5 linked regions of the Sus scrofa genome follow. The protein of the gene in region 4 interacts with the protein of the main gene of each other region in a biochemical or structural test. Links are inferred from orthologs where the notes say so. Each region holds a gene or a part of one and is shown on either strand. Other genes may lie near its edges.

Evidence for each region.
Region 1: the proteins of CDC25A (region 4) and CCNE1 form a complex in vitro, tested with the Homo sapiens proteins (2 studies listed by BioGRID). The link is inferred for Sus scrofa from reciprocal best matches to the Homo sapiens genes CDC25A and CCNE1.
Region 2: of the proteins of CDC25A (region 4) and CHEK1, one has a biochemical effect on the other in vitro, tested with the Homo sapiens proteins (7 studies listed by BioGRID and IntAct, with this or other methods). The link is inferred for Sus scrofa from reciprocal best matches to the Homo sapiens genes CDC25A and CHEK1.
Region 3: of the proteins of CDC25A (region 4) and CHEK2, one has a biochemical effect on the other in vitro, tested with the Homo sapiens proteins (5 studies listed by BioGRID, with this or other methods). The link is inferred for Sus scrofa from reciprocal best matches to the Homo sapiens genes CDC25A and CHEK2.
Region 5: the proteins of CDC25A (region 4) and YWHAQ form a complex in vitro, tested with the Homo sapiens proteins (2 studies listed by BioGRID, with this or other methods). The link is inferred for Sus scrofa from reciprocal best matches to the Homo sapiens genes CDC25A and YWHAQ.

What each region holds. Positions count from the first base shown.
Region 1 is NC_010448.4:39,917,262-39,923,822, reverse strand, and holds the start of CCNE1 (G1/S-specific cyclin-E1), read right to left. Parts: upstream 4,283-6,561; 5' UTR 4,028-4,282; intron 3,543-4,027; 5' UTR 3,514-3,542; coding exon 3,491-3,513; intron 3,379-3,490; coding exon 3,291-3,378; intron 3,074-3,290; coding exon 3,005-3,073; intron 1-3,004. UniProt on the Homo sapiens protein: Essential for the control of the cell cycle at the G1/S (start) transition.
Region 2 is NC_010451.4:52,764,378-52,770,323, reverse strand, and holds part of CHEK1 (serine/threonine-protein kinase Chk1), read right to left. Parts: intron 1,592-5,946; coding exon 1,403-1,591; intron 910-1,402; coding exon 805-909; intron 1-804. UniProt on the Homo sapiens protein: Serine/threonine-protein kinase which is required for checkpoint-mediated cell cycle arrest and activation of DNA repair in response to the presence of DNA damage or unreplicated DNA.
Region 3 is NC_010456.5:45,955,828-45,961,773, reverse strand, and holds part of CHEK2 (serine/threonine-protein kinase Chk2), read left to right. Parts: intron 1-1,550; coding exon 1,551-1,675; intron 1,676-1,793; coding exon 1,794-1,941; intron 1,942-5,074; coding exon 5,075-5,165; intron 5,166-5,946. UniProt on the Homo sapiens protein: Serine/threonine-protein kinase which is required for checkpoint-mediated cell cycle arrest, activation of DNA repair and apoptosis in response to the presence of DNA double-strand breaks.
Region 4 is NW_018085145.1:125,818-131,763, reverse strand, and holds part of CDC25A (M-phase inducer phosphatase 1), read right to left. Parts: intron 4,698-5,946; coding exon 4,635-4,697; intron 4,540-4,634; coding exon 4,441-4,539; intron 3,406-4,440; coding exon 3,275-3,405; intron 611-3,274; coding exon 499-610; intron 272-498; coding exon 131-271; 3' UTR 1-130. UniProt on the Homo sapiens protein: Tyrosine protein phosphatase which functions as a dosage-dependent inducer of mitotic progression. Directly dephosphorylates CDK1 and stimulates its kinase activity. Also dephosphorylates CDK2 in complex with cyclin-E, in vitro.
Region 5 is NC_010445.4:126,764,587-126,770,532, reverse strand, and holds part of YWHAQ (14-3-3 protein theta), read right to left. Parts: intron 3,681-5,946; coding exon 3,557-3,680; intron 207-3,556; coding exon 43-206; intron 1-42. UniProt on the Homo sapiens protein: Adapter protein implicated in the regulation of a large spectrum of both general and specialized signaling pathways. Binds to a large number of partners, usually by recognition of a phosphoserine or phosphothreonine motif.

The sequences.
Region 1 (6,561 bases), on a different chromosome or scaffold from region 4:
TCCTAGCCTGGGAACCTCCATATGCCACAGGTGTGGCCCTAAAAAGACAAAAAAAAAACAAAACAGAAAAGATAAAAAAAGAAAAGTCTGAGACTCATGGCATTTTCTTTTAAGCAGAGAGATCTTTAATGTTGACTGGAAAAGAGACAACTGAGAAGACTACAGATGAACATGGCAACAGGAACCCTAAGTGGCGCCTGGAAGATAGGGGACAGGGTGGCTATCGCAGCACACCGGCCACTTTCAGAGGCCAGAGTACTTTCAGTGTACAGAGAAGAGCAAAGCGGGACAAAGCTCTTCTCCATTCAATGTGCAGAGAATTGGGCATGCAAATTAACCATGACAGTTCTTGCCAACAGCTGTTGGAGAAGGGCAACCTCCTCTTCCAGTTCTAGTATCATGTGCTGGTAGCATTTCCTTGACTCAGAAAGGGTCACATTACAACTGCTTTAAGCTGCTCTTCATTCAAGAATGAATTCTAGTTTTGAAAGCAGAAGCTGGGTGTCACCCTCTAGAGCCAGATGGTTGAAATAGCTGAGAGCAGGCCTTTGGAGATAAAATGGTAACAGTTCTCAATCTGCAGTTCATAGACAAATCGGGTGAACCACAAGTAGACAAATGGTCCCCAAAGTCGGCCTAAAGGAACCAGTGTATGAAGCAGAATGATGACGTCTTTACCCTTTAACTTGAGTGTACACCATGTCTCAAAAAAAAGCAGGATCTGTCTGACTTTAGGAAGGAATGAGACAATAGTAAGAGGCAAATCTTGATTATTCCTGACCACCTCTGACTCTTCGAGCCACTTTTAACTTTCTAATTTATGCAAAACTATAAGTAACGAACAGAAAGTCCAGGATTCCATGTCGAGAAAAAAACTCGAACAACAAGACAGATATATTAAGTGGACTTTAAATAAAAGAGTATTATTTTCATGAAGAAAAACCTAAAGTAAGAATCAAAGCTTCTATGTGGTCTCGATGAAGCAGTTACACGGAGTTGCCCATGACGGCGACAAGTAGCTCAGGGCTGCTCAACAGGGCTAAACTGTGACTCCAGAGGAAAATTCTGTGTAATTAACAGGCAAAAAGGTTGTGACCCCAAAAGCTTGGCTTCATGAATCTATAGCAAGAAATAACAAAAGACATTGATTGCTCCATAACTGATGGGTGGTCATTTTCCAGCTATCTGCTCGACAAAATGTGCAGAAACCTGTTGTCATTAATCTCTGAACAACCATGAAAATGCCTTCTAGTGGGAAATGATATGGCTCTTCATGTACCACCTCTATCAGCTCTCTGCAGTCCAGGGATAGGGCCAAAGCCCTGTCTTAGGCACTCGAGGCACCACTCAGCTTATCTCTGAGAACAGAAACTATTCTCAAACTCCAAGAAGTCAAGAGGGACAGCTTTGCTTCAACCTCAGTTAAAAATTTCAATTCGAAACACAGCTGGGAAGGTAATCTTGAATTTCACAAAGAAGACATCCATAAACATCAACTTGCTTGGTCTGCAGTCTCTCTCTCTTTTTGCTTTTTAGGGCTGCACTCGTGGCATATGGAAGTTCCCAGGCTAGGGGTCGAATTGGAGCTACAGCCGCCGGCCTACACCACAGCCACAGCCACATCAGATCCGACCTGCATCTTCGACCTGCACCACAGCTCACGGCAATGCTGGATCCTTAACCCACTGAGCGAGGCCAGGGATCGAACCTGCATCCTCATGGATACTAGCTAGTCAGATTTATTTCCACTGCACCATGATGGGAACTCCCTGGTCTGAAGTCTTTCAGGAGAGAAAGAAGAAAAAAGAACTTGGAAGGCACTACCTTATTCCCTTTCCTAAAGTGAAGTACTTCTTCTAACACAGCAGGGAAATCAAGAATCCCTTGTTCAACACTCAGTAGAACCTCCCCAGAAATACTAATTACTAGGGTCCTGTGTGCAGTAACAACTGTTTTGCAAACAATGCAGCCCACGGCCTTGAAGCTCCTTACTCTTCCAGACCCAGCACTATGGCTGTTGTTCACTGCCCTACAAAGTGGAGTGCTGTCACTGCTAATGTCATGGGGACCACTATCCTTGGCTCAACCCTAATATTCCTGCTCAGTTTTTATCTGTTATTGCATTAGAAAGCCTGATCAGCTAGTCTGGAGATAGGCTGCTTCCCCTACTGGAGCCATAACTACATTCTCCAGCCATTTCTGGAGGTAGAGAGATAATACAAGCCTTTTCTGCTAGGAACTTCTGATATTATGACGATACCATGAGCATGCAAGAAATATGGCGGGAAGTCCACAAAGGAAGGGCAAGAGAAAAGGACCAGCCAATTTAAAAAGTGTGCTTGAGAGGTGCATTATCCTTACAGGGAATGTCCCACCAATGCTCTGGTGGAGGCCAGGTCAGGTACCAGACAGCAGGGATCACTACAGGTAATTGCTGGATGAGCTGGAAGAACGTTCAGAAAGGGGAAAAAAAGTCTGAAACATGACCCAACGGGGGTGGGAACAGGGAAGGGCAATTCCTAAGCACCATGACGAGAAAACACAAGTGTGGATGAGGGAGAAGGTGCTTCGGAGCACACGCAAACCACCATCATCACAGTGACCCAGAGTTCTGTGTCAGGAGCCTTCCCTGCAGTTCACCAGCCTGCAGACTAGGCTGAAGCACAGACTCCGCCCCTGGCTTGCACAGGACTCTGGGTTACTTTCTTCCTCTAACCGAGTCTCAGTTTCCTCAAGGGCAAAAGGAGAGGACTGAGTTATGTGATGTCCATTCTGGTTCTTCCAGACATGGGCGCATATTTGTCATCTCAGGGATGTCAGACAGGAACATACACCTTCCTGGAATCCCAAGGCTGGCAGCGGTCAGTGCCCACTGACGGGCACCGTCATATGGCCATAGTCAGAGAACAAGCCTTCAGCAGGAGCCAGCCAAGGGAATAAGAGACTACATTTGACCCCCCAAAAGGAAAGCCTCCATTTAGGCCCAATCAGTAAGTGTACCTACCTGATTGCCACACTGGCTTCTCACAGTTCTGTCAATTTTGGCCACATCTTCATCTGGATCTTGCAAAAACTGACGTAAAACAACCCCCACAACCCAAGGAAACACACCACACAGTCCAAAGACAAAAACACACACATAGAGAAGAAAAAGACAGTAGGTTAGGTTATGTGAGCACCATTTCTGCCAAACGCATTCCCCCGTGACCCCCTATCAATAAATAGGTGGGCAGAACCCAGGTATGATGAGAAGGGGGGAATCCTCCCCCACCTGTCTCCTTTGTACTCACAACGGCCACATTTGCCTTCCTTTTCCTGGAGCGAACAGAGACATCAGTGCCACTTTCCTCTTTCATAGTGTCAGGTTCCTTCGCATCCCTGCAAAGCCAGGGGGGGCACAGAGGTGAGGGTGAGTTCTCCCCAAATCTCGGCCCACCCCTCCCCCACCACTGCACACCTTTCCCTCTACCGCAGCGGCCAGGCCACTCACCTTTCCTTCTTCTCCCTCGGCATGGCGCTGGGCACAAGTTCAGACCTCAGGCCTGGGGGCACGAAAAGGCAGTGGGCTGAGGACCGGCGGCGGAGGGGGCCAGGGCCCCGCCGGCCCGTCCCTGGTACCCCTCCCCCTCCCGCGCGGGCGGCGGCGGCGGCGGGAGCCTCCCGGGCCGGTCGGGAAAATGGCCGATGGGCCCGGGGTGGCCTGTCACCCGCGGCGGCGCCAGCGACCGGCGATGCCGGGTCGGAACCCGGGGTGGGGGGGCCCTCGACGCCCCCCGAAACCCTCGCCGGCCCATCGCCTCCCTCGGGGCCCAGGCTGCCTCAGTCTTCCCCTCAACACCTCCCTGTAGCCTGTCTCTGAGCCGCCCTACCGGGGCACCCCGCGCTGACGCCTCTGGGGACCCGGCGACCCGATCTCGCCCCACCCCCACCCCCACCCCGGCCCGGCCCGGCCCGGCCCGGCCCGACCCGGGCGCTCCGGGAGTCCTTGCCCGCCGCGCCGTCCGGCAGCCCGCGGCGGGGTCCTTACCCGAAGCCGTCTCCGCGGCAGGCAGGCAGGCGGCACGAGCCGAGGCCGGACGCAGGAGGCAGGGGCGAGCGGGAAGCCGGGAGGCGGGAGGCGGCGGCGGGCCGAGCGCGCGGCGGTGGCGGGATCCGCGCCTGCCCCCTACACCGCGCTGGCGGCCGAGCCGGCTGCTCCTGCGCCCGGCTAAGAGCGGGACATTTAAAAATCCCAGCGCGCGGAACCGGCCCCCGGCCCGCCCTCGCGCCCTCCCGCCACCCTCCGCCCCGCCCCGGCCGGCTCGGAGCCCCTCAGCAGCCGCCCGAGGGCCCGGGCCCGCCCCGCCACCGCCCTCAGGACCGCCCCGCGCGGCGCAGGCCCGCCCAGGCGCTCGGCACCTCCGGGGGCGGGGCCAGCGAAGGGCGGGGCTAAGTGACAGGGCCTGCGCGCCGGAGGGGCGGGGCCCGGGGGCCGTGGCGGGGCCTGCGCGGCCTGAGCTGCGGAGCCCGCGCGGGGCGGGACGCGGGGGCCGGCCGGCGCGCGCGAGGGGGCGGGGACGCGCCGGCCGGCCGGCCGCGAGGGAGGTCTGGCGCGAGCGCGCGGAGGGGCGGGTCGCGGGGCTCCGGGGGCGGAGCCGAGCGGCGCCGGAGCGGCAAAAAGCCGCGTGGCCCGCGCGGGTGGAATGTAAACACCGCGGGCGACGAGGGTTCGGGCCCCGGCGGGGGTCGGGCCAGAAGACTCCGCATCCATCGGCCTGCCGCGCGCGCGCGCGCGCACTGTCGCTCCTTGCACGTCCTCCCCGCCCCCGAGAGACGCAGGGTTCCGGGCCCTGAGTTGGGGCGGGGATGTGCCCAAGGTCACAGCGCCTGGTCACAGGGCCTAGAACCAGGGCCTTAGGCCGCTAGGTCTGGGTACCCCTGTAGAACAGCTGTTACTCCTAGTCGCGTGTCAGCCCAACTGGCCATTCATGCGTGATTCTTTGCATGCATTCATTCAGCTAATATTCGAGCACCCTCCACGTGTGCCTCTTCCCCACAGATTCATCCCTGGCAGAAGCCCTTTCTGATGCTGGAATTCCACGCAGTTCTCTCCAGCGATAAAGTGTTTTGGCCCTTAAAGTCAAATCCACGCTCCCTGCCTTCCAGGGCTCCGCATGGAGTGGCCTTCGCCCCCCTCAGCCCTCCCCTTCAACCCCCTTCCCTGACGGCTCCCCTGATCACCCTCTGTCCTTTCTCATCTCAGGGCCTTGGAGTTTGTTGTTCCCAGCTCTGGCCCCTTGGGGCCGCTTGTCCTTCCGGAGAACGTCAATGACCACTGATTTAATCTAGAGCACCCCTCTCCCCAGGAGTTCCTGTCTACCCCATTGCCCTGCTGTGGTTCCTTCACAGCACTTGCCACCATTAAGTCTCTTGCTCCTTTCTGTGTTTGGTGCTCCTTTCCCTACTTTGCCTGTCCAGGTCTTGGCATAGTGCCTGGAGGAAGGGAGGCCCTTAAATCTTATTTGTGAAGGAATGCTTGAAAAACACAATCACCAAGCCCTTGTGGAGTTTATAGGCTATGGAGAGAGGTAGTACTGAACAATCGTGACTTGAAAGCACTACTGTATTAAGCCTCTAGAATAAGCATGTGGCAGAGAGCTCCTAAACACTCCTAAGGCCCTTCCTGATGTAGTCTCAGTCTTGGGCCCCCTCCTTCCGTGACTATCTTAAAATTAGAGCCTGGGTCTTACTGGTGGGCATGACTGTGTCATCCTCAGAGTTGCCAATTAGCAGATCGTTGAACTTCCTGGGGCTCTGAGGTCAAGGCCGCTGAGATGACTTGCTCAGGTTGGCTTAGGTAGACCTGGAATGCAGGTTCTTGAATTTCCAGCCCCGTGCCCTTAACAGTAACAGGTATCACAAACATTTCCAAAATAGCTTTGCACTAAATCTTTGGAGGTATTAACTAAATTTCGCAATAATCCTGTGATGTTGATACCATGATTGTCTTTTGTTGTTGTTGTTGTTGTTGTTGTTGTTGTTGTTGTTTTGTCTTTTGTCTTTTGTTGTTGTTGCTATTTCTTGGGCCGCTCCTGCGGCATATGGAGGTTCCCAGGCTAGGGGTTGAATCGGAGCTGTAGCCCCCGGCCTATGCCAGAGCCACAGCAACTCGGGATCCGAGCCGCATCTGCAACCTACACCACAGCTCACGGCAACGCCGGATCGTTAACCCACTGAGCAAGGGCAGGGACCGAACCCGCAACCTCATGGTTCCTAGTCGGATTCGTTAACCACTGCGCCACGACGGGAACTCCTCTTTTTTTTTAATAACAGCTTTATTGAGTTATAATTCACATGCTATGAAATTCATCCTTTTTTTTTTGGCTTTTTAGGGTCACACCAGCAGCATATGGAAGTTCCCAGACTAGGGGTCAAATCGGAGCTGTAGCTGTCAGCCTACACCGCAGCCACAGCAACGCTGGATCCGAGCCGCGTCTGCCACCTACACCACAGCTCACGGCAATGCCAGATCCTTAACCCACTGAGCGAGGCCAGGGATTGAACTGCAACCTCATGGTTCCT
Region 2 (5,946 bases), on a different chromosome or scaffold from region 4:
AATTCAGAATTTCTAAAAAGGTGGACTGGATAAGTATTATAAGGCATGTCCATATAGCAGAATACCATCACAGCCTTTAAAAACAGTGATGTAGGAGTTCCCGTCATGGCGCAGCGGTTAACGAATCCGACTAGGAACCATGAGGTTGCGGGTTTGGTCCCTGCCCTTGCTCAGTGGGTTAACGATCCGGCGTTGCCGTGAGCTGTGGTGTAGGTTGCAGACGCGGCTCGGATCCCGCGTTGCTGTGGCTGTGGCATAGGCCGGCAGCTGTAGCTCCGATTGGACCCCTAGCCTGGGAACCTCCATATGCCGCGGGAGCGGCCCAAGAAATAGCAACAACAACAACAACAACAAAAGACAAAAGACAAAAGACAAAAAGACAAAAAAAACCCAAAAAAAACAAACAGTGATGTAGACCTATAATTATAGTCATGGAAAAATGTTCACAAAGCATTAACACAATAAAGACAGGTTACAAAACAGCATGTATAATGGGATCTCATTTTTTGCAAAAACACACATACTTATAAATAATATACATATATAGCAAACATATATATATTTTACTACAAAGTGTAGAAGTACATATCAAAATTACTATAAGAAGCTATTTCTGAGTGCTGGAATTATAGGATTGGATTTATAAAATTTTTTATTATTTTCCTAATTTATCTATAAGGATCACAGGTTATTTACATAATGATTTAAAAGTTAAGAAGAAAAAAAAAGTAAGAAGAAAATTCAAACAGCGCTAGGCTTCACTATCTAAGAAATCAATACTTTAAATTAAGATAACCCGGTTACCTAGAGGAGCAGAATCGATTTTTTTCCAAGGGTTGAGGTATGTTTTTTTTTCTTTCCAATCACAATATTCCTGACAACTATCACTAGGCTGGTCCCACGGCAATTCTAAAAAACAAACAAGTCCCAGTTTTCTGAGTGTTTGCATCATTGTACAATAAAGGTTTTAAGGGAAAATAATCAGTGACACAAATCCATTAAGTTTCCTCCAAATTAATTAAATATGGTTTCCAAAATAAGAATGTCAACTCAAAGAAATTTCAAAGGCATTTCTAAGATAGATAGTCCATGTCCTGCCTTACTCTATCCAAAATTACTCACATGAATTTTCAAAGAGAGAGCTACTGTTATATGTCATTTAATAGCTATATACACACTTCATCTTTAAAAACCTCTGGGATTGAAAGTTCCAACTTGGTTATAAATAAGTTAATATTAAAATACTATCACATAAATACTATTCCCTTGATTTATTTCATTTATTTTGGTACAACAAATCTGGGTTTCCATAGGAAATTATCATAATTTATCATATGATAATTATTTATCATAATTAAGTAGCTCTTATAATAATCATTTATCATAATTAAATAGCTCTTACCTCCAGCCAACATTGCAGTAAGTACTATTCCACAGGACCAAACATCAACTGGTTCTGCATGAAATTCTTTTCTCTTCAGAAGCTCTGGAGCAACATATGGTAAAGTACCACACATCTTGTTCAATAAACGCTCACGATTATTGTGCCGAAAAACGGTTGCCAAGCCGAAGTCAGAGATTTTGAGGTTATCTAAACCAAAGGAAAAAAGATGGCACTGGATAAAAATATTTTGTAAATAGATATACTAAAAGAAATTGAGTTTTATTGGAAAACCACTGGTATTACTTAAGATTTGTAGATTCTCTACCTTAAAATGACCAAAAAGAAATTTTTAAAAAGAAATAAAAGACGTTGTCATATAGATAAAACTAGGAAAAGACTTCATGGCTTTCATGAACACACAAATATCATGGACCAGGTTAAAGAAAGATAATGGAGTCAAAAGGGCTTTCTAGAAAAGAACACTCCAGGCCTGGGCTAAAAGCAGGACCATGCCCTCATCAGGCTGTGGCAGAGGGCAAGAGGGAGACATCAATAATATATTAGGCACAACTTTCTCAGCAGCGAACAAACCCAGCTGGTCAGAAGAAAATGTACAAAGACACTCCAAAACTAAAGATCCACATATCACCAGAATTTCTTGTCGAAGTGACTAAGTTTAGAAAAGGAGGAGGAACTCTGTATAAAAAACAAACCAGGAAGTTCCTGTCGTGGCACAGTGGTTAACGAATCCGACTAGGAACCATGAGGTTGTGGGTTCAATCCCTGGCCTTGCTCAGTGGGTTAAGGATCCAGCGTTGCCGTGAGCTGTGGTGTAGGTCGCAGACGCAGCTGCGATCCGGAGTTGCTGTGGCTTTGGCGTAGGCTGGTGGCTACAGCTCCAATTCAACCCCTAGCCTGGGAACCTCCCTGTGCCAAGAGAGCGGCCCAAGAAATGGCAAAAAGACCAAAAAAAACCCAGAAGAACACATTTCCATTCTAACTTCTCATTTTCAACACACACAAACTGCAGGCAAAGCTTCCTTATAACTATACTTAGTAAATATCTACCACAACTGAGCGACACTGCACTAGCCATTGCAGGTAGATAAATTACTGAAAAAGACTAACTATAACAACTGCTGTGAAGGTTATGAAAATGTAGGACATTACAAGATCTTACAGAAAGGGAATCTAACCTAGTCTTCAGAGTTGGGGAGAACCCCTATTATTAAGTGTCCACTGGTACAACTTTTTTAGAAAGCCATCTGGCAGGAGTTCCCGTCATGGCGCAGTGGTTAACGAATCCGACTAGGAACCATGAGGTTGCGAGTTCGGTCCCTGCCCTTGCTCAGTGGGTTAACAATCCGGCGTTGCCGTGAGCTGTGGTGTAGGTTGCAGACGCGGCTCGGATCCCGAATTGCTGTGGCTGTGGCATAGGCCGGCAGCTGTAGCTCCGATTGGACCCCTAGCCTGGGAACCTCCATATGCCGCAGGAGAGGCCCGAGAAATAGCAAAAAGACAAAAAAAAAAAAAAAAAGAAAGCCATCTGGCAAAAGATGCCAAAATTTGAAATACTCACACTCTCTGAACTAGCAATTTCCACTTGTAGGACCATATCCACAAAAATACATCCAAAAATTCACAAATAAGGATATCTATAACAGTATTATTTGTAAATATCTTAAATGTCCATCAATAAAGAAATAATTAGGAGTTCCCACTGTGGCACAGCAAATTAAGGATCAGGTATCATTGTAGTGGCTGGGATTGCTGCTGTGGCACAGGTTTGATCCCTGGCCTGGGAACTTCCATAAGCCAAGGGCACAGCCAAAAGAAAAAATACAAGAAACAAAGTCTATCTACTCTACTGACATGGAATTGGGTATAAATGAAAAGAAAGGCAAGTGCCATAATAAATATTCATAATAATATAACTCAATTATTGTATTGGCCTGTGCACAAATTTACGGAATAGGCATCACTGCTCTATTTTTTTCAAGGCTAGAAACAACTTAAATGTCCTCAATTAGGGGACTGATTCTTTAAAAATCAATTACAGCCACCCAATATAAGAAGTAAGCTGTCGATAATAATTACTGGGATGTCTTGGGAGGTACCTACTGTCATAATCCTTTTAATAGGTATATAAGACACAGTCTTAGCAAACCACTGAGACTTAGAGTTCCAAGTTAACTGATAGTAATCACTGAAAATACTAATGGATGACCATAGCATTCCTTAGATTCTATTGTTTCACCAATTCTACTACATAATACTTAGCTCTAACTGCATATAATAAATTTAACTTAAGGATTGTGATTACTTCTAAGAAAAAAAAAAGGTACGCACATCTGTGAAGGAATACACAGGAAGACTTACACTATATTGGTGTTGTTTTCCTTTTTATAAGATTATCATTAAGCAGAAACAGAAGATTATTTATATAATATACAAGATATGAAATATCAACGTAATGAAAATCCACTCACCTAATACCTAGTTTAAGACCATTTTATTTCCTTTGAAATCTCCTATAAATCCTTCCCTAAATATTATTACCTTTCCTAACTGCAGTCCTTCCTTTTTAGAAGTTTTTATGTGGCTTGAAATCTGCATTTAATCAGAAAAGGACTCAATTTGTAGGTGAGGAATAGGAAAAATTGATTATAATACCATCGAAGCTATTAGTATTCAAAAAGTATTGGACCTAAAATGAAAAATAGAAACAGAAGGAGGGGAGTTCCCATTGCTGTGCAGTACAAATGAATCCAACTAGTATTATGAGGATTCAGGTTCAGTCCCTGGCCTCGATCAGTGGGTTAAGGATCTGGCGTTGCTGTGAGCTGTGGTGTGGGTTGCAAACATAGCTCGGATCCTGCATTGCTGTGGCTGTGGTCAGCGGCAGCTCTGATTAGACCCCTAGCCTGGGAACTTCCATATGCCAAGGGTGCAGCACTAAAAAGTGAAGAAGAGCCAGAAGGAAGTCTCCCAGCTTGTGCTCTCGTTTCTCAGAATTCATCAACAGACCATTCTATGGTTCCTTTTCCCCATACACCAAAATTTTGAATAGCTAAAACTGTGCTAAGCACCTTATAAAACAACTTGCAATTTTGAATAGCTAAAACTGTGCTAAGCACCTTATGAAACAACTTGCAATTTTGAATAGCTAAAACTATGCTAAGCACCTTATGAAACAACTTGCGAAAGGCTAAATAACCAAGGGAGAATCTTAAGTAGTTAGGTTAGTAGATGAGTTAATAAAATGATACCTAAAACCTATTAACCAAAATCTTAAGACTGATTGTAACTGATTGATGGGTTTCTGTTGATTTTTTTACTTTCTTCTTTAAACTTACGATCTTATTTCATGATTAGCTTTTATCCTTATAAAAAGGAAAAAAATCAGTATTTTTAATTTGGGAATAAAGTTTTCACATTCCAGATACTCCATTTATTATATAAGCTGGCTTAATTTATCTCCTTATATAAAGGTAAATCATAGAGTTCAAAAAGAGGTCAGAAGAAGGTTGTTAAGAACATACACATACATTATGATGGGGCACAATACTGCCAAAAACACTAAACCTTAGGGTTGGACAAGATGCTAAAAGTACTTTGGTCCAACTAGCCAAGCAATGTTTAAATTCCCTTTATAATATCCCTGATAATGAATAACCCAGGGTGAGTCTCATGTTATAAAATAACCTGTTCAGTTGTTGGACAGATCCATCAATGGGGGTCATCACTGCACTACTCCAAATTGCTTCCATATAGTTTTCATTCACATATTGTGAACAACTGTATTTAACAATTAGCGAGTTTTCCTTAAGTTCCTCAATTATTCCTTATTTTAGCTTCCAGCTCGTTCATCATTCTGGTCACTCCCCTACAAAAACACTTCAGTAGTCTACATGCCTTCACAGAACTGTCCTCAATACCCATTATTCCCGCTGTGGCCATACCAGAGAAGTGCTGGATGCTGTCTCCCTCACTCTCACCTTATCTAACCTTACTCTTCTAATCACCAAATCACACTGGGTGACTAATATGAAGTTTGCTGATTAATAAGTTTTTTTAAACCTTCTTTGCTGCCAGAAGTTTGCCATTAAAATATACTTATTTGGTTGGTTTTTTCCAATCCAAATACTGGGTTGTACTGGAAAACAACTGGTTACATCTGACTCACATCTCACGTCTGCTAAATTCATTCATTCAATAAACATTTTTGAAAGCCAACTATTTGCCAGGCACTATTCTAATACATTAAAAAAAAAAAAAAAAAAAAAAAAAGTTCCCATTGTGGCTTAGCAGAAAACGAATCTGACTAGTATCCATGAGGACAGAGCTTTGATCCCTGGCCTCACTCAGTGTGTTAAGGATCGATGTTGCTGTGGCTGTGGTGTAGGCCAGCAGCTACAGCTCTGATTTGACCTCTAGCCAGGGAACCTCGATATGCCATGGGTATGACCCTAAAAAACAAAAACAAAACAAATCGCTGCCTCATGCAGCTAACACCTGTCACCTTTTTTGATCCTGATTCTAAAAGCTAACACTTTCACTAT
Region 3 (5,946 bases), on a different chromosome or scaffold from region 4:
TAACTTTTTGAGGAACCACAGATTTTTTCACAAAGGCATACCATGTTACAGTCCCACCAGTAATGCGTGAGGGTTCCTGTTTCTTTGCCTTTTTGCCAACACTTATTATTTTCTTTTTTTTTTTTTTAAATTATAGCCATCTTCATAGATGTGAAGTGGTTACATGTGTAATTTTGATCTTGCCACAGTATCCTCCTTAGATGGTATATAAATTACATTCTTCTTGGAAATGTATGAGAATATCTGCTTTTTCAGACCTCTTGCCAACACAGTGTAATGTGAAACTTTTTGATTTTTGTCAGTCTGAAAGTTGAAACATGGAATCTTTATTTAGGCTTTCAGATTTTCTTGTATTGAGTTAGCATGGCCATCTTCTCATGTATTTGAGCTATTTGTATTTCTGTCTTTCATAAATTGTCTCTTCATATCCTTTACCCATTTATTATTGGATTGTTTGTCTTTTTCTTACTGCTTTGTAGAAACTTCACAGATATTAGGGAAATAAGTCCTTTGTCTGTGGTGTGAGTTGCTAATATTTTCCCTAGTCTGTCTTTTCATGAACATTTTGCTTAACTGCCATATGCGTTGTCCTGGGTGTTGTAGCTGTACTCTTGAACAAGAGATGCAAGGCTGCCCTCCCAGAGAATGTTCTAACAGGGGAATACCAAATAATCAAGATAATTTTCAGTTATGGTCCATACTTAGAGGAAAACTCAACAGCCTGTCATGATTATGGTGGGTAGGTGATAAAGGGGGAGTCTGCTTCTACAGAAAGCTGAATGGAAAACAATAATTTGCAGGCACAAAAGGTAAGATAGCCATTCAGATAGTTTTGAATGAGGAATTCAAAGTCCATGAAGGAGATTGAGCCATGCATTTTGGGGGCAGTGGAAGGAGGCCAGTGGAGCTGGGTGTAGTGATCAAAGGAAGGGTACAAGGTAAAGCTGGGAGGGACGCAGGGGCCAGACCTTGAGCACCTAGCCTGCCATGCAGAGTGTAGATATTACACTAAGTATGGTGGGAGGCCTCAGGAGGGTATAGGAGGAAGTTATTGTTATATCATAAGTATTTTTCCCAACCACTCAGAATTATTTGAGAATTTTAATGGCTGCTTAGCATTTCATGGCTATGTATAAACTAATTTATTAAAGTTGTTGGAAATTTTTGTTTTCTTTCTCTTTTTTGTTTCTCTCTCTCTTTTTTTTAATTTTATGACCATGGCATATAAAAGTTTTCAGGCCAGGGATTGAATCTGAGCTGCAGCTGTGACCTACACTACATCTGTGGCAATGCTAGATCCTTTAACCCACTGCAGGAACCAACACCTCTGCAGCGATCTGAGCCCCTGCGGTCAGATTCTTAACCCACTTCTCCACAGCAGGAACTCCTCTCCCCTCTCATTTTTAATCTTATAAAATCTTGGTGGACAGGTCTATAATTTTCATTGCCTTCTTAGGCTATTTTCCTTCAAGCAGATTTTATGAGAAAATTTTAAAGGTGTTTGATGCATGAAATTTAACAGCCCTCTGGTGTGTGCTTTTGTGTTACAGAGTGTGTTAACGACAGCTACTGGTTTGGGAGGGATAGAAACTGTGAATACTGCTTTGATGAGCCCCTGCTGAAAAGAACCGATAAGTATCGGACTTACAGCAAGAAGCACTTTCGAATCTTCAGAGTAGGTGACAAATATCCATACATTTGGGAGAACTGGTAATCTAGACATCTCTCTTAGATATCTCCCCACCAGAATGCCCCACTGTTAAAACTTTGAAATAAAATATTCTCTATTTTAGGAAATGGGTCCTAAAAACTCTTACATCGCATACATAGAAGATCACAGTGGGAATGGAACCTTTGTAAATAGAGAGCTTGTAGGGAAAGGAAGACGCCTTCCTTTGAATAACAATTCTGAAATTGCACTTTCAGTGTGGAGTAATAAAGGTAATATTATCTTCTGGTTACTGGATTTTTTTTCCTTCCCATATAAAAGGAAAAATGACATTTTATCCTTTGCAGAATATGGTTTAGGTAACTAAAGTAAGTAGATTAGCTTTCAAGATTCATCGCAATCCTGGTTGCATTTTTTAATTATGAAAAGTTCTATCAAGACAGGTTTTCTAAGGTTTAATTGGTTTGATTTAGTTTTATTTAAATCCATATACTGTCAATCGAATTATCACATTGCTTCAGTTATCATTCATTGCTTGACTCAGTTTATTTATTTATTTATTTATTTATTTATTAGTCTTTTGTCTTTTTAGGGCTGCACCTGTGGCATGTCGGGAGGTTCCCAGGCTAGGGGTCTAATCAGAGCTGTAGCCACCGGCTTACGCCAGAGCCATAGCAACACCAGATCTGAGCCGCGTCTACGACCTACAGCACAGCTCATGGCAATGCCGGATCCTTAACCCACTGGGTGAGGCCAGGGAGTGAACCTGCAACCTCATGGTTCCTAGTCGGATTCGTTTGTTTCGCCACGACGGGAACTCCTTGACTCAGTTTTATGATGTCAGCATGAGATATCTGTGAATTGTTATTTTAGGCCATTAGTTCATCTCCCCCTCTTCCTTCTCTGTCCTCCTCATCTATCAAACCATTATATATAGCCCGGCATTAGACTATGGGATTTCCTCTAACAGTCTCAGTTTAGACTTTCCACCTTCTTAAATATGACATGATTATCCTCTGAAAATGGAGAACATCATAATCATCAGGTACCATTTATTCCTAAAACTTCACAAATATCACATCTGAAGCGAACAGTTGTCATTCAGTGAGCATAAAAACCTACAGAATTCAGTATAGCTCACAGTGACTTTAAAACCTTGGACAAGAGGATACTCTTATTTCCTTAATTAAAAAAAAGCCCCATGAACTTCTCAAAACTCTTTTGAGAATTGAGTGACTTGGAGTGGTATATGTTTGTGTGGGTAGCATCTTAAAAATATAGATTCCCAGAGGCATTGCCCCATGGATTCTGATCCAGTAGTTCCAAGGATTTAAAAATCCTGCCCAGGTGATTCCCATGCAGCCGGCCTTCAGACTGGCATCTGGGAATTATGGCTTTCCTGGGTGTCCCATCGTGCTTTTTTTTTTTTTTTTTTGTCTTTTTGTCTTTTGTTGTTGCTGTTGTTGCTATTTCTTGGGCCGCTCCCGCGGCATATGGAGATTCCCAGGCTAGGGGTTGAATCGGAGCTGTAGCCACCGGCCTACGCCAGAGCCACAGCAACGCGGGATCCGAGCCGCGTCTGCAACCTACACCACAGCTCACGGCAACGCCGGATCGTTAACCCACTAAGCAAGGGCAGGGACCGAACCCGCAACCTCATGGTTCCTAGTCGGATTCGTTAACCACTGCGCCACGACGGGAACTCCCCCATCGTGCATTTTATGATTGACTTAGTTATCCCTGTTTTGCTGTTTGAGAGCACCTGGTCAAGGGACAGCTGGGTGCTGAAATTTGTTCTGTCCTCTATTTGACAAGCAGTGTGCCAACTTATTCTAATTGGTTTATCCAAGGTGCACTTTTCTAATTTGGCCAAAAGTGTTCTGTGTTCTGAAGCTGGCCATGACTTAAATAGATCAAACCAGTTCTCTGTAGATCACATGTGGCCTGTTGACATTTTATTTGCTGATATTTGTGCTTAAACATGAAAATCCAAATTACTTTCAAAAGATGGAATACCTTACTATCTTGAGTCTGTAATCTCCTAACCTGAGGATTTGCAGGTGTTGTGTAGAAGCTGCTTCCTTTCCATGGGTGATGTGTTTTCCTGTTCAAGTTCTCACTGCTCCGTGTCTTACATTCACCCTGGCTTTATCTCTGTGCAAGACCTTCCTGGCTTGTGTAGGCCACTGAGTTTGCAGACCTTGAAGTAGACCTTGACATTTGGGGAAATACATCTCCAGAGCTCTTCCAGTGCCCTGATTCTCAGGGGCCACTGGAAGATTTAGGTTCATAAACATCCACCAGCAGAATGGCACAGTGTATCCTGGGCGGCCAGCAAGTCTTATATATTTAGGCAGGTGTCTACCTCCCATGGACCAGCCTGGCTGGAAGCATCCTGAGGTGGTTCAGACTTGTGCCAGAGGTCAAGACCCATCACCTGAAAATATGAGAAACTCAAGGGTCTTAACAAATTTCACTCTTTCAAGATATTATAGGCAGTTGCAGGTTTGCCACTGATGACTTTGTAGAATTGGAATGTTTGATAACTGATTGCAGGCTTGACCTAATAGAGGATTAAATTATGAAATGAGTAGTGTTTTTGGTTTTCTTTTTCTGAGATAACCAAGCCATATAATGAAGAAATAAAGGGGATTTGGGGGGAAAGTGTGGTGTAAATTCAGTATAGTTCACTATAAAATACCCGATAGGTAATGGTAGAAATGGCTGAGAGAAGATGATGCTAGTATGGTGACTTCTGGCCTGATTTTTATTGGGACATTTATTTGCCTAGAACATATTTTCTAGATTCAGACTAATTGCTTTTTGGTTCTTGGTCTGTGCAATTGGTAACTGTTCTGAGGTCAAGCAATAAGAATACTATTTATGTTTAAGTTTCTTGCATTATAGTGAGAACAATGCTGTGTATTTCTGTTGTGGAATGAAACTTTTCTGTCATCATTTTTCAAAGGTTTCACAATATGCATTAACCTAGCTAAATGATTTCTTTGGGGATAAATGTGAAATGGAATTAAAAATGTTTATGGCTCAGTGGTTAACGAACCTGACTAGTATCCATGAGGATGCAGGTTCAATCCCTGGCCTTGCTCAGTGAGTTAAGGATCCCACGTTGCTGTGAGCTGTGGTGTAGGTCGCAGACATGGCTCAGATCCTGTGTTGCTGTGGCTGTGGTGTAGGCCAGTGGCTACAGCTTGGATTCAGCCCCTAGCCTGGGAACCTCCATATGCTGTGAGTACAGCCCTAAAAAAATAAATAAATATAAAGGACAAAAAAAAAAAAAAAAGGATTCTCTTATATTTCATATATTTACTAAGCTTTTAGGACCATTTATCTTCTCTTTATCAAATGAATTAATGACACCAATTTCTGCTATTTTTTTTCCCTCAGTTTTTGTATTTTTTGATCTGACTGTAGATGATCAGTCAGTTTATCCAAAGGAATTAAGAGACGAATACATCATGTCGAAAACTCTTGGAAGGTAATTTTTTTTTTCTTATGAAACTTGTGTTTGATTTCTTTCTAAACATTTGTCATTGGGAGTTCTCTAATGGCACAGTGGGTTAAAGATCTGGCACTGTCCCTGCTGTGGCTCGGGTCACGGTTGTGGGGAAGGTTTGGTCTTTGGCCCAGGAACTTCCACATGCCTTGGGTATGGCCAAAAAAAAAAAAAAAAAAAAAAGAGAAGAAAAGAGAAAAAAACAAAAAAAAGTTATTTTTCTTTGGTCATTTTGTTCGTGGTTTTATAGCGTTCTTTATATATATTCATAACATTGGTAGGGCACCTATTTGTGATAGGCATATTCTTGCTGTATTTAACAATGATTAGTTGAAAGTTTTTCTTTATAGCTTTTATTGGTGATAACTTTTTAAAAGCAGTTTTATTGAGATATAATTTACATACCATATAATTCACTCATCTAAAAGTGTACAATTCAGCAGCTTTTAATGTATTCACAGAGCTGTGAAACCTTTACCACATCAGTTTTAGAGTATTTTTATTACCTTCCATAAAGAAACTATTTACTACATTTCTTCCCTTTTTTTTTTTTTTTTTTTTTTTTTTTTTTAGGGCCCCACCCATGGCATGTGCAAGTTCCCAGGCGAGGGGTCGAATAGAAGCTGTAGCTGCTGGCCTACGCCACAGCCACAGTAACATGGGATCCTTAACCCACCGAGTGAGGCCAGGGATTGAACCCATGTCCTTCTGAATCCTGGCCAGGTTCGTTACTGCTGAGCCATGACAAGAACTCCAAGACGAA
Region 4 (5,946 bases):
GGGAGGTAGGTTTAGGGCATGGAAGCCCCAGGCCTTCTCTCCAAACGTCACACAGCTGGCCCCTTTTCTCTAAGGGGGAAAGAGGGGGAGGGAGGGAGGCTCAGGCTGCTGCAGTCTGGCACCAACACCCTCAGAGCTTCTTCAGACGGCTGTACATCTCCCTTTTGCTCTTTTCCCCAGCCCAGGTCCGGCTCTTGGTGCGGAACTTCTTCAGGTCTTCTTTAAAATCCTCGTGGTGCATGGGCCGGTAGCTGGGGGGCTCGCAGTGAGACTGGTGGGCAGACAAGATGAGGTCAGGGCTTATCTGCCTCACAGGCACTCTCCTGCTCCCTCCCTGCCAGGGGCTGCAAGGCTCTGGTCAGTGGTTCTAGGGCCCTTCTACGTGCAGGGCAAATCCCCAAATCCCTGGGAAGAAACAGCTGTAACCACCAGCCAGGTCTAACTGTCCAACCTAGGCAAGGGGAGGGAGGGCCACATCCTCCAGAGAGCCCATCTTACCTGGCATTTCAGGAAGAACTCCTTGTATCCACCCTTCAGGACATACAGCTCTGGGTAATGGAGTCTGGGGTACTCGTTCCCAAGACGATCTCTTTCTCTCACGTATCGGCACCTACAGAGGGGACGGAAAGCCAGAGCACGGTTAGCTCTACAGTTTCAGAAAACAGCACTTGTGGGTTGTTTGTGGTTTAAGTGCTCCTTACACATGTCTCTGCAACCTTATGTTCATTCTTCGAAACAGTGCCGAGTTGGGATTTCCTGGCTACCTGTGATCTTTAGGAAGTGTTCACAGCCTTGTATTGGAAGGTAGAGGGCCTCTTTCCAGTTTCCAAGTTGAGCAGCCCTAGCATCTGATTTCTACCCAGCACCCCATCAGCAGAGACAGCCTCTCAGCATGCTTCTCACTGCATTCTCCACCTTCTCCTCAACCAGTGTCTCTCCCTCACCTCCTAGGAAGGCATTTTTCTTCCTGTGGCTTTTTTAAATGGGCTAAACTTGACTCTTGCCTCAGGGTACTATTTGTATCCTATACCTGGACTAAATACAGATATCCTCATCCACTGGTGCCCCCTTCCTTTTCAACTCTTAGTACAAAAGCTAGAGTCCTCACAGTGCCTACAATGTGTCATCCCCCGCTTCCCTGATGCCTCAGCCACTGTGGTCCCCTTGCTGTTCATCTCTGGTCTTAGCACCTTCTAACATGTCACAAGTTTACATATCCTGCCCAGATAAGATGAAATGTAAGCTCCTAGAAGACAGTGGGTTTTGTCTGTTTTGTCCACTGCTACTCTCCCCAGTACCTGGCACATGTGAAGTAATAGTGTGCAAAGTGAATAATTCCACTTGTGAATAAACATTAGGTCTCGCTGAAAGCCCACCTCTTCATGTATTTATGGTTTTGGACTAATGTGGGGCAAAGTCCTTATCTCTAGGAGATAGGTGCTGAAGGACTTGGAGAGATGGTCACACACACCAAGTTCTTGTAGTTGTGCATATGCAAGTGTATTGTAAACATTTTTATGAGTTATATGTGTGCAAATTTAGCAAAATATTGAAATTTGATGAATTCAGGGGAAGCATGTGTTCCTTCTGCGCTTCAACTACTTCCAAAAAAAAGATGGCACAAGAAATTAAACCTGGGAGTTCTCGCTGTGGCTCAGTGGAAACGAATCCAACTAGTATCCATGAGGATGAGGGTTCAATCCCTGGCCTTGCTCAGTGGACCAGGGATCCAGCATTACCATGAGCTGTGGTGTAGGATCCTGAGTTACTGTGGCTGTGACACACTGTGCTAGCACAGGCTGGCAGCTATAGCTCGGATTTGACCCCTATCCTGGGAGCTTCCATATACCGCAGGTATGGGCCTAAAAAGCAAAAAAAAAAAAAAAAAAAAAAAAAAACCTTGAATCTGGCCCAATGAGAAGTCTCTCTGACCTCCCTAGAGAAGCTGAATTGCTCCCTGCGCCTCTATCCCCATTTGCTCAGCACCTGTCACTACCACCTTCCGTCTCCACTGTGATTTCCCCGGGGGCAGGTCCCCTCACTGCTGTACCTTCATTGCTTCAATAGCCCCTGACATGTCCAGTGTGGCAGTCCTTTCTGAAGGGACCTGGACAATGGATGGGTGGCTGTTTGCCCCCCCACCACCACCACTTTTCATAACTATCACTCACTGCTCACCATATTTTTGGCACCAGTCCAGTTACTATTAGTGAGAATGTGGAAGGATGCTATTAAGAGTACCAGATGATTATTTCGGATCTTAAGTGAATGTTGTTTTACTGTAGTTATATTTTCATTTATCTTGGTATAAAATGTACCCTTCCCAAAAACAGGGCCTTTCACACCAAAGCCCTAATAGAAATTCTTGTTAATAAAAGAGAGAGAGGAGTTCCCATCGTGGCTCAGTGGTTTTAGTGAATCCGACTAGGAACCATGAAGTTGTGGGTTTGATCCCTGGCCTTGCTCAGTGGGTTAAGGATCCGGCGTTGCCATGAGCTATGCTATAGGTTGCAGACACGGCTCAGATCTGGCGTTGCTGTGGCTCTGGTGTAGGCTGGCGGCTACAGCTCTGATTAGACCCCTAGCCTGGGAACCTCCATATGCCACGGGAGCAGCCCAACAAATGGCCAAAAAAAAAAAAAAAAAAGAGAGAGAGAGAGACAGAGAGCGAGAGAGGGAGTGTGTGTGTGGTGGCATTTCTTTTTCACCCCTAATGTAGCAGTAATGTGAAGGTAATATAACCCACTCCTTTGCAAACATGGATTTCACAAATGTTTGAAAGTGTCACATCAAGTTTTACTGTGAGGATGTCACACTTTTCTGGCATTTGCATAGAGTAACCACATTGTACTTGAAGGATATCACCTGAAAACAGTGGCCTGAGAACAGCTAAAGACAATAGGGGAAATTGGAAGAGCCAGAGTTTAATATAAAGAAAGGTTGAACAGTGAGCCACGACTAACTCAGAAGTGGGAGTGATGAAGCAGAGCCCAGATCTATGAAAGATATTGTATGGGCAAGATATCAGGATTACAGGCTGCCCTGGGGAAACCAGAAAAGCCTTCACAACAGAAACTGTTAGGTTAAGCCTATGAACTATACTCCAGGAAGCTATTCATGAAATCAACTGACTGCTAAATAGGTAAGAATTTGAGAGAACATCTGCTACACATGAATTGATACTTTACAAAACCCCATGTATTTACACACCATGTGCATAGGCTAAGGCATGTAAATGACCTGTGATGTGCTCCAAGTCCCAGAGCCCACTCACATGCGAGGGCCTCGCTCAGAAGAGAACTCGCAGTGGAACACCACGATGACACGCTTGCCATCTGTAGGTACGATGGGCTTCTTGAGTAGGAAGTCTTCAACCTCTTCTTCCATATGCAAGTTCACTGCACCCTGTGAAGGCACCAGAGACTCTCACCTCATATTTACAGTAATGATTCAAATGGGCACCTCAAATTCCGTTGTGACCACATGTGCTTTAGGAGTGGTATTTGTAAATGTGGGGGGTAAATGTGGGGCTTTCACAGCCATAAGACAGTGGCAAACATTAACGCTGTGATTAAAGTACCTCCTTACCATATTTCAACACTATTTTAGTGGTTAAAAGATTAAAATGGCACAGGAGTTCCCATCGTGGCGCAGTGGTTAACAAATCTGTCTAGGAACCATGAGGTTACGGGTTCGATCCCTGGCCTTGCTCAGTGGGTTGAGGATCCAGCGTTGCCATGAGCTGTGGTGTAGGCCAGCAGCTGTAGCTCTGATTGAACCCCTAGCCTGGAAATCTCCATATGCTGTGGGAGCGGCCCTAGAAAAGGCTAAAGAGACCCAAAAAAAAAAAAAAAAAAAAAAAAAAAGATTAAAATGGCACAATCAATTATCTTCTTTCTGGAAAAGCGTTCCAACACTGGCCTAACCAGGCAACTTAACTTAACTCTAAAACTTATGAGGCATCACTAGGTGTGGCACAAATGGGGACATGTTGCCAAAGACTGGCTTCTCCTCTGGCTTCATGTTCAGTCATGAAATTAGTGGGCACTATTTGGAAATGCCCCTGATGGTGATGGCGTAAGGGACAAAACAGGGAGCATTTGCTATGCCATGTGGTAGGGATTAGTACAGACAAGGGAGCATTCTTTCTGTGTACCAGGACTCAGATGCCTTTCATGCCCACTGCCTCTTTTCATATGTTTTACTTTTTTAGGGCTGCACACTCACACCTGCATCCTCACTGATACTAGTTGGATTCGTTTCTGCTGTGCCACAATGGGAACTCCCACCACTGCCTCTCTGTACACTTATGATAACCAGCATATAAGCTTTATAAGCAGCCAAACATTACCTCCCCCTTTAAAAAACAAAACACCCACAGAAATGCTGCCATAGCTCCCATGACAAGAGGACTCACTGGCAAGTTTTAGGAATCCATACCTTGATGTGGCCGCCCTCATATTCATATGGGTATCGGCAGTCAATGATAACGAACTCTTTAATGAGGTTGGCAAACTTGCCGTTCAAAACAGATGCTATCTGTGGAAAGAGAACCGAGGAGAATTAACCCTGGCTGCTAAGAACAATGAGATTTCAATACCCCATGTGTGGCAGGTTCCAAAAGGATGGCTTACAATTTCTGGAGAGATGTATTTTAAATCCTGATGCTTCCCAGCAACTGTATGAAAGAGATAACCCTTAAAAAAAGAGAGAGAGAAGAGAAACACTTAGTAAATCTGAAAGCTTAAAAATGCAATACTGGAGGAGTTCCCGTCATGGCACAGCGGAAATGAATCCGACTAGGAACCATGAGGTTGCGGGTTTGATCCCTGGCCTCGCTCAGTGGGTTAAGGATCTGGTGTTGCCACGAGCTGTGGTGTAGTCAAAGACGGGGCTCGGATCTGGCATTGCTGTGGCTCTGGTGTAGGCCAGCAGCTACAGCTCTGATTGGACCCCTAGTCTGGGAACCTCCATATGCCATAGGTGCGGCCCTAAAAGGACAAAAAGACCAAAAAAAAAAAAAAAAGGTAATACTGGAATTCCCGCTGTGGTGCAATGGGATTGGTGGTATCTCTGCAGTGCTGGGACACAGTTCAGTCCCCAGCCTGGCACAGTGGGTTAAAGTTCCACCATTCATTGCCACAGCTGTGGCTCAGGTCATAACTGTGGCTTGGATCTGATCCCTGGCCTGGGAACTCCATATACCATGGGGTAGACAAGAAAGAAAACGAACAAATAAACAAAAAAAAAATAATCTAATAGTACATGTTGGTTATTTGTGTAGGTGCTTCATTAACATCCTGACTGAACTTTCGCAGACCTTTAAGGCACATTATCCCCATTTCCAGATGTCAAAGCCAGACACTTTGTTCAAGGTTAGCCAGCTAATAGGCCAGCCTGCAATACAGAAACCTCAGGTGATTTCCTTTTTCTCCTGCTTTTGTCAGGAACCCTCACCTCAGCACTTAAAGGACACAGCCAAGAATAACTTCCCTGGTTTACTGAGCATTTGCCATGTCCAACACAGTGCTAGACACTGAGGTAGAAGGAGTGAGACCCAACCCAGCCTTGAAGGGGAAGACAAGCACCTCAGCATTACTCATTAGGGTGACTGGTGCACTCAAGGCTCACCCATCCCTGTGGCCGTGTGCAAGATCATTATGACAAACATAACCAACAGCTTTAGGTCAAGTGCAAGCTTCTACCAACAAGGACATACCACACCCAAGTCTTTGTTTGCTCTTCCCTTCAGACTGCATCTGTCTTCTATTTTTAACTCACTTATCTCTCCCACCTGGCTGAAATATCTAGCCCGGATTGAAACCTCCCCCAGTTGCTGGGCTGAGACAACCCCTCCTCTCATTCTTCAGTCTGCTGCTTGTGTTACACTAATGTTTACTTCAAGTTACCTTGTGATACATGTGGTTCATGGCCACCTGACATGTC
Region 5 (5,946 bases), on a different chromosome or scaffold from region 4:
CTCTCCAATCACCTAGAGGCCGTTTCCGCGTGCAGAGCTTACCGTTTTGGCCAGTGTGCAGGCAAGTTCTGGATTATTGAGGATCTCATAGTAAAATACAGAGAAGTTAAGAGCCAGCCCCAGGCGGATGGGGTGTGTGGGTTGCATCTCTTTCTTGCTTATATCAAAAGCCTCTTGGTAAGCTCCCTGGGAATTATCTATCGTTTCTGTGAAGGAAAAAACAAAATAAAAAACATGATACTGAAAATACCCACCTGGTATTCAGCAATACCTTTAACATAGGCTGCTAGCTCAGTAGAACCAGATTTTTCTCTGTAGCCTTCTTTTATTTATTTTTTGGTTTTTAGGGCTGCACCTGCAGCATATGGAAGTGCCCAGGTGAGGGGCTGAATTGGCCCACATCACTGCCACAGCAACGTGGGATCAGAGGCACCTCTGCGACCTACACAACTCACAGCAAGGCCAGATCCTTAACCCACTGAGCCAGGCCAGGGATTGAATCTGAAACCTCATGGTTACTAGTCAGATTCGTTTCTGCTGCACCACAATGGGAACTCCTCTGCAGTCTTCTTTTAAAACCATAGCGGCAAGCCAAAAACATTACTTTGTACCAGGTTTTTAAAAAACTAGTTTATAATGTTGCTTGCTTATAATCAGCTTAAAAAAAAAACCTCATGTAATAATACAACAGATTTTTCCATTTCTGGGACTAAAACAATTTTCTTCCACGTCTTTTGATTAAAAATAATTTGGTACACACACATCAATAATAACTCAATAAAGTTCGGAAAAAAGCTAGCTATAATGTTCCATCCTGAAATAATGGAAACATTTTACAAAGATCACCACCAAAATCTCTATTTTTGTGATTTACCTGTAGAAACACCACCTACCCTTGGTATCAAGGTGTATTATGTGAAAGGCAATATAAAAGCACCCAGAGATAGATCCAAATCTGCTCTGACCAGAGTTTAATTACTGGCCTAATGTTACCTTCCTGAAAAAAACGTCCAGGAAGCACTACCCACACTAATCTGATTAAACCATGTTTTGCAAAGGGCAGGTGTTCTGAATGAGGCCTTTGGTCCCACTACAGCTTGAAAAAAGACGGACCTAACAGAAATTAAGCTGTTCCTTCACAGCCAGCACGTGTGCATTTTCCTTGCTCTGAAATGGCGCATTTACTGAGGTAATCACAGCTGGCACAGCCCTCGCCTACTAAGGAGCTCTTGCTCCCTGGCACAGAAGGAAGCGCTACAATGAGTACGAATGGCGTCTCAGCTTGTAGGTAGTAAAAAATACCAGACTACCAGAGTAGTCTATGCACAGGACTAGAAGAGGCCGAGTCAGAAATGGTTAGATCGGATGAACGCGTGGCTATGGCTCAACCTCTCGATCCCTTCGGCTGGCTGACATTTAAGCGTTTAGTTCTGTGCAAACACTAATCATGTCCAGGTCTGCTTATCTTTATAGCAACAGAAATTACATATGAATAACAACAGTACACAGACTGTGTTACAGTGAGGCACAAGAGTTTTCCTTTATGTGCTCAAATACACTGCTTTTGGGGTGGTAGAACTGTCTCACTTTTAGTTAGCGTCTCTCTATGGAGCAGAGAGGAGAGGAGGCCGTAATGTGTGTGGGTACATGCCCTTTTGGGATGGGGCAAAATGAAGAAAATAATGAACTTCTGGGAAAAAAATGAGTTAAGCGGAACTTCTATAGCTTGATGAACACACACAGAATTTAACAGGATGGCATGCCCAGCTGTCATTACTCCAGGAGACTGAGTTCACTGCTAATAAGTTTACCTTGACCTTTTTATAATCACGTTAGGTAACTTGGTCATTCTTTGCCCCATATCTATGTTTTCTATGATAAATTATATACCAGTAATACTACTCTCATCTTACCTCTCTTTTTCAGAAATCTGGTTATCTATAATAAGCAGTCAATGTTATGATCCTTCAAGATGGGTAGTAGCTAATGAATTAATATGTCAAGCAGAAAAAGTACAACATCCTATTTCTCTAGCCTACATGTAATTTCCAGTTACCTTAAGTTTCCAGATATAAGATGCTAAAGACCATGTGACATCCAAAGCATATGCAAAGAACTCTGGGGCTAAAAATATGATGAACCAAATTTTAAAGGCTAAAGAGTAATAAGCCTGGGGTTTTCCCTACTGGGACACAGCAACAGCCATTTATTCACATGTTGTCTATACTCGCCTTTCCACGACGAAAGCAGAGCTGAGTGGCTGCTGACAGAGACTACATGGCCTATGAACCCTGAGATATGCACCATCTGGCTCTTGATAGAAAATGTCTGTCACCTTGGGAGCGAGCTCGAGAAACAGGACATTCTCAGTATCAAGAAGGCCCCCTGTCCCCGCCCCCAGTTTCGACACCCTTCCCAAGCCCTTTCCTGATTTCTAACGCCACAGACTAACTGGGCCTGAACGTGTGCCACGGCAGTGACAACGCCAGATCGCAGCCTGCCGACTGAGCCATCAGGGAACTCCTTATTCAACACCGGATTGCTGAGATCTGTCCACACGGCTACAGGCAGTGGAAACGCCTCTTCACTTCTGTACGGTACACCTAGAATGTGTTCCTGAAGCAAAATTATGACACAGGCAGATGTGCTTTGATCCCCACCTCATCCCTCCTTTAGTCCCATGGGGGCTTTTTTCACTTCCCCTCCCAGATACTCTCCATTTTGCTTCCCTCCACCCACCAACCCCTCATTCCTCTCCTACATCAGGAAATGTACCTCTAAGCACAGCTAAGGGTTAATGCACCAGAAGGTTGTAAAGCTTCGAAGCCTCTGTCAAGCCTGAGTACAAAAAAGGGGCAAATTTACTTGTGGATAGGCAGGCATCACTGTGCCAGGGGACGGATGCCGGGATCCTCAAAACAGGACCCGACCACTATCTGTCCGTCCATCCGATTGGTGATACCCATGTGAATTGTTTCGAGGTTTGTGTTCTTACAAATAACACTGCTATGAATATTTTTGTACATGTGTTTTGTTTAATATTTGTACATACTTCTTTTGGGAATTTATGAAGGAGTGGGGTCTCCTGATGATGCCTCTGGAGTTGCCATCATAATGTATGCATTTGTGGATCTGTGATAGACATTTGCTTTTTTTTTTTTTTCCTCCTTTTCAGGGCCACACTTGTGGCATATGCAAGTTCCCAGGCTAGGAGCTGAATTGGAGCTACAGCTGCCGGCCTACACCACAGTCACAGCAATGCCAGATTCTTAATCCACTGAGTGAGGCCAGGGATCAAACATGTATCCTCATGGATCCTAGTCGGGCTCGTTAACTGCTGAGCAACGAAGGGAATGCCCAATACTTGCATGTTTTTTTAAATAATATTTAATAAACTTTATCAGGTTATAATCAGTTTATGAGTTTAATTTTTCAAAAAGGGCGCATAATGTAAACTCATGACTGTTTTCATTTTTGAGAATGTAAGGCAACAGTATGAATTTATCCCGCTCTCCTTTTATTTCTTAGCTGTACCCATAAAACCAAGCGCACTTACGTTTCCGATCATCACCGCAAGCAACCTCAGCAAGGTACCGGAAGTAATCTCCCTTCATTTTCAGGTAGAAGACCTTACTCTCTGGATTAGTTGCATTGGCTATTAAATACTTATCCAACAATTCCTGAAAGAAATAAGTTAAAACATTAGGCACTAATAAAAGTAACTACCAGTCACTCCACACCGTGCCACCCTGGACTGAAAGCATGGGCTAGAGAGCAGGGGCCAGGTGGCTGCCATTAGTTGAATGGCTTGGCTCACAGTGAGTGATAATTTCTAACGGTAAAGCTAGATGACATCAACAATCATAATTAGAAAGAGCCTGTCAGTTCGTTCATCCATTCATTCAAAGAGGCACTTGCTAGGTGCCAGGCACTGCATGTGACCAGAGGGGAAATAAAGAGAAGGTTCCTGCCCTCAAAGAGCTCACAGTCTAGTACGGAAAAAGGTAAGTACACTATGACCAGTACACAGGGCATAAAAGACACATGAACAGGGGGCTATGGAAGCACAGGGGACGACTATCTGGCTCTGCTGGAGGGGCCACTGCTAGGACAAGCTTCCCCGGGGAAGGGATGTGTCGAGAAGTAACAGAAGGAACACAACAGTGAGAAAACAAGCATGTGCAATCACTTCAGGGAGGGAAACAAAATGTTTAAGCCATCAAGTTTGAACAGTATAAGCAGAGCAAGGAAGTCGTCACGGCCCAGGGCGGGGCTGCTCAGCATCCTCTGCCAACCAGTGCCCATCCAGAACCAGGGCGAGTAAGGGGATCCGAGTAAGTGATCTACAAACTTAGCGGGCAATCTGACAGTTACGGCTACTGAATGGAATTATTTTTAAAATCATTTTTGAAAACTGGGTTAGTATTTAAGTATATCTTTTATTTCCCATTTCATACAAAGAAAACTTCGGCTTGATCCAATGAGCCAGCACTTCCCAAACTGAGGTATTTGTACAAGGTGTGCCTGAGAGTGTTAAAAAGTCACAAAAGACAAATATGAGAGGTACTTTCTTGGACTATCAATTTTACTTGATGCTAAGTAATTTAAAAATCTTTCTGTAACAAAAAATATAGAGTAGAATGAAGTTCTCAAAGAAATTTTAAGGTATTAAAACCTATACCTCATAGGTTTGTTTTGGGAGTAAAATCAATAAATAGATACTGGAGAAGTAAAAGATGATTTAGAAGATGTACCTGAGGGAGTTCCCGTCGTGGTGCAGTGGTTAACGAATCCGACTAGGAACCAACCATGTTTCGGGTTGGATTCCTGGCCTCACTCAGTGGGTTAAGGATCTGGCGTTGCCATGAGCTGTGGTGTAGGTCGCAGACGCGGCTCGGATCCTGCATTGCTGTGGCTGTGGTGTAGGCCAGTGGCTACAGCTCCAATTAGACCCCTAGCCTGGGAACCTCCATATGCCGCGGGAGCGGCCCAAGAAATGGCAAAAAGACAAAGAAAAAAAAAGAAAAAAAGACGTAGTTTGAACTCAAGAACTTGTTGTTTTTCTGAATAAAGAGCCTAAACAATTTGGAATGATTATATGCATGTTATTTTAAAGGAAATAAACAGAAAAACATTTTAAATCTTTAAATTTATTGAAAAACATGTTTAGGTTAAAAAAAATTTTGTGAGGGTCTGAAATTCAGGGTAAGTTAAACTTAGTATTATAGGAAAACTACCTAATGAGTCTCTGGCATGTATACATTATAAAAGCGGCAAGTATCAAAAGTGTGGCTTAAATCTGGAAAGCTGCTGGGCCAAGAGTCAAGCAAGAGATGGGCCACACCTAAACACAACTAAAAAGAAATGCTGCTTCTGCACCACCACACTCTTAAATGGGGAGAGAAGCAAAGGATTGTGTAAGGATTTCTTCTGCTCAACACCACCAGCACAACTGTAACAGTTATTAAAATGAGCTTAAGAAAAACTCCTTCCCAGAATCTTACAAAATCCTATTACCGAGTAACTTTTTCCTCTAATACCATTTTTAAATACTGTGGATGACTTTCAATTTTAAAACTATTTTTATGGAACACATGAATTTGGGGTTTCTGGGCAGAAGGTAGGGTGGGGAGGCGGGCAATGGTGAGAAAGCCACAAAAAAGTTCACTAGCTTCAAAGTCTCAACCTGACTCAGTCATTTTTACTAAAAGAAAAAAAAAAAAAAAAAAAAAATCAGATTCTGAGAAGCGGTATCCAATACTGAAAGCACAGTATTTATGCTGTGGGAACCAACACCTCCGCTTGTATCCAAACTGAGGAACTGCCATGTAAAATGAAGGGCCTCTCGCTTTTCTTTTTCACTCAAGTGAGTCAGTCACTTCAGACGAGATCCCACAGAGGAGCTCCAAAACGGCGCCAGCCCTGCTCAAGACAGTATTTATAGTT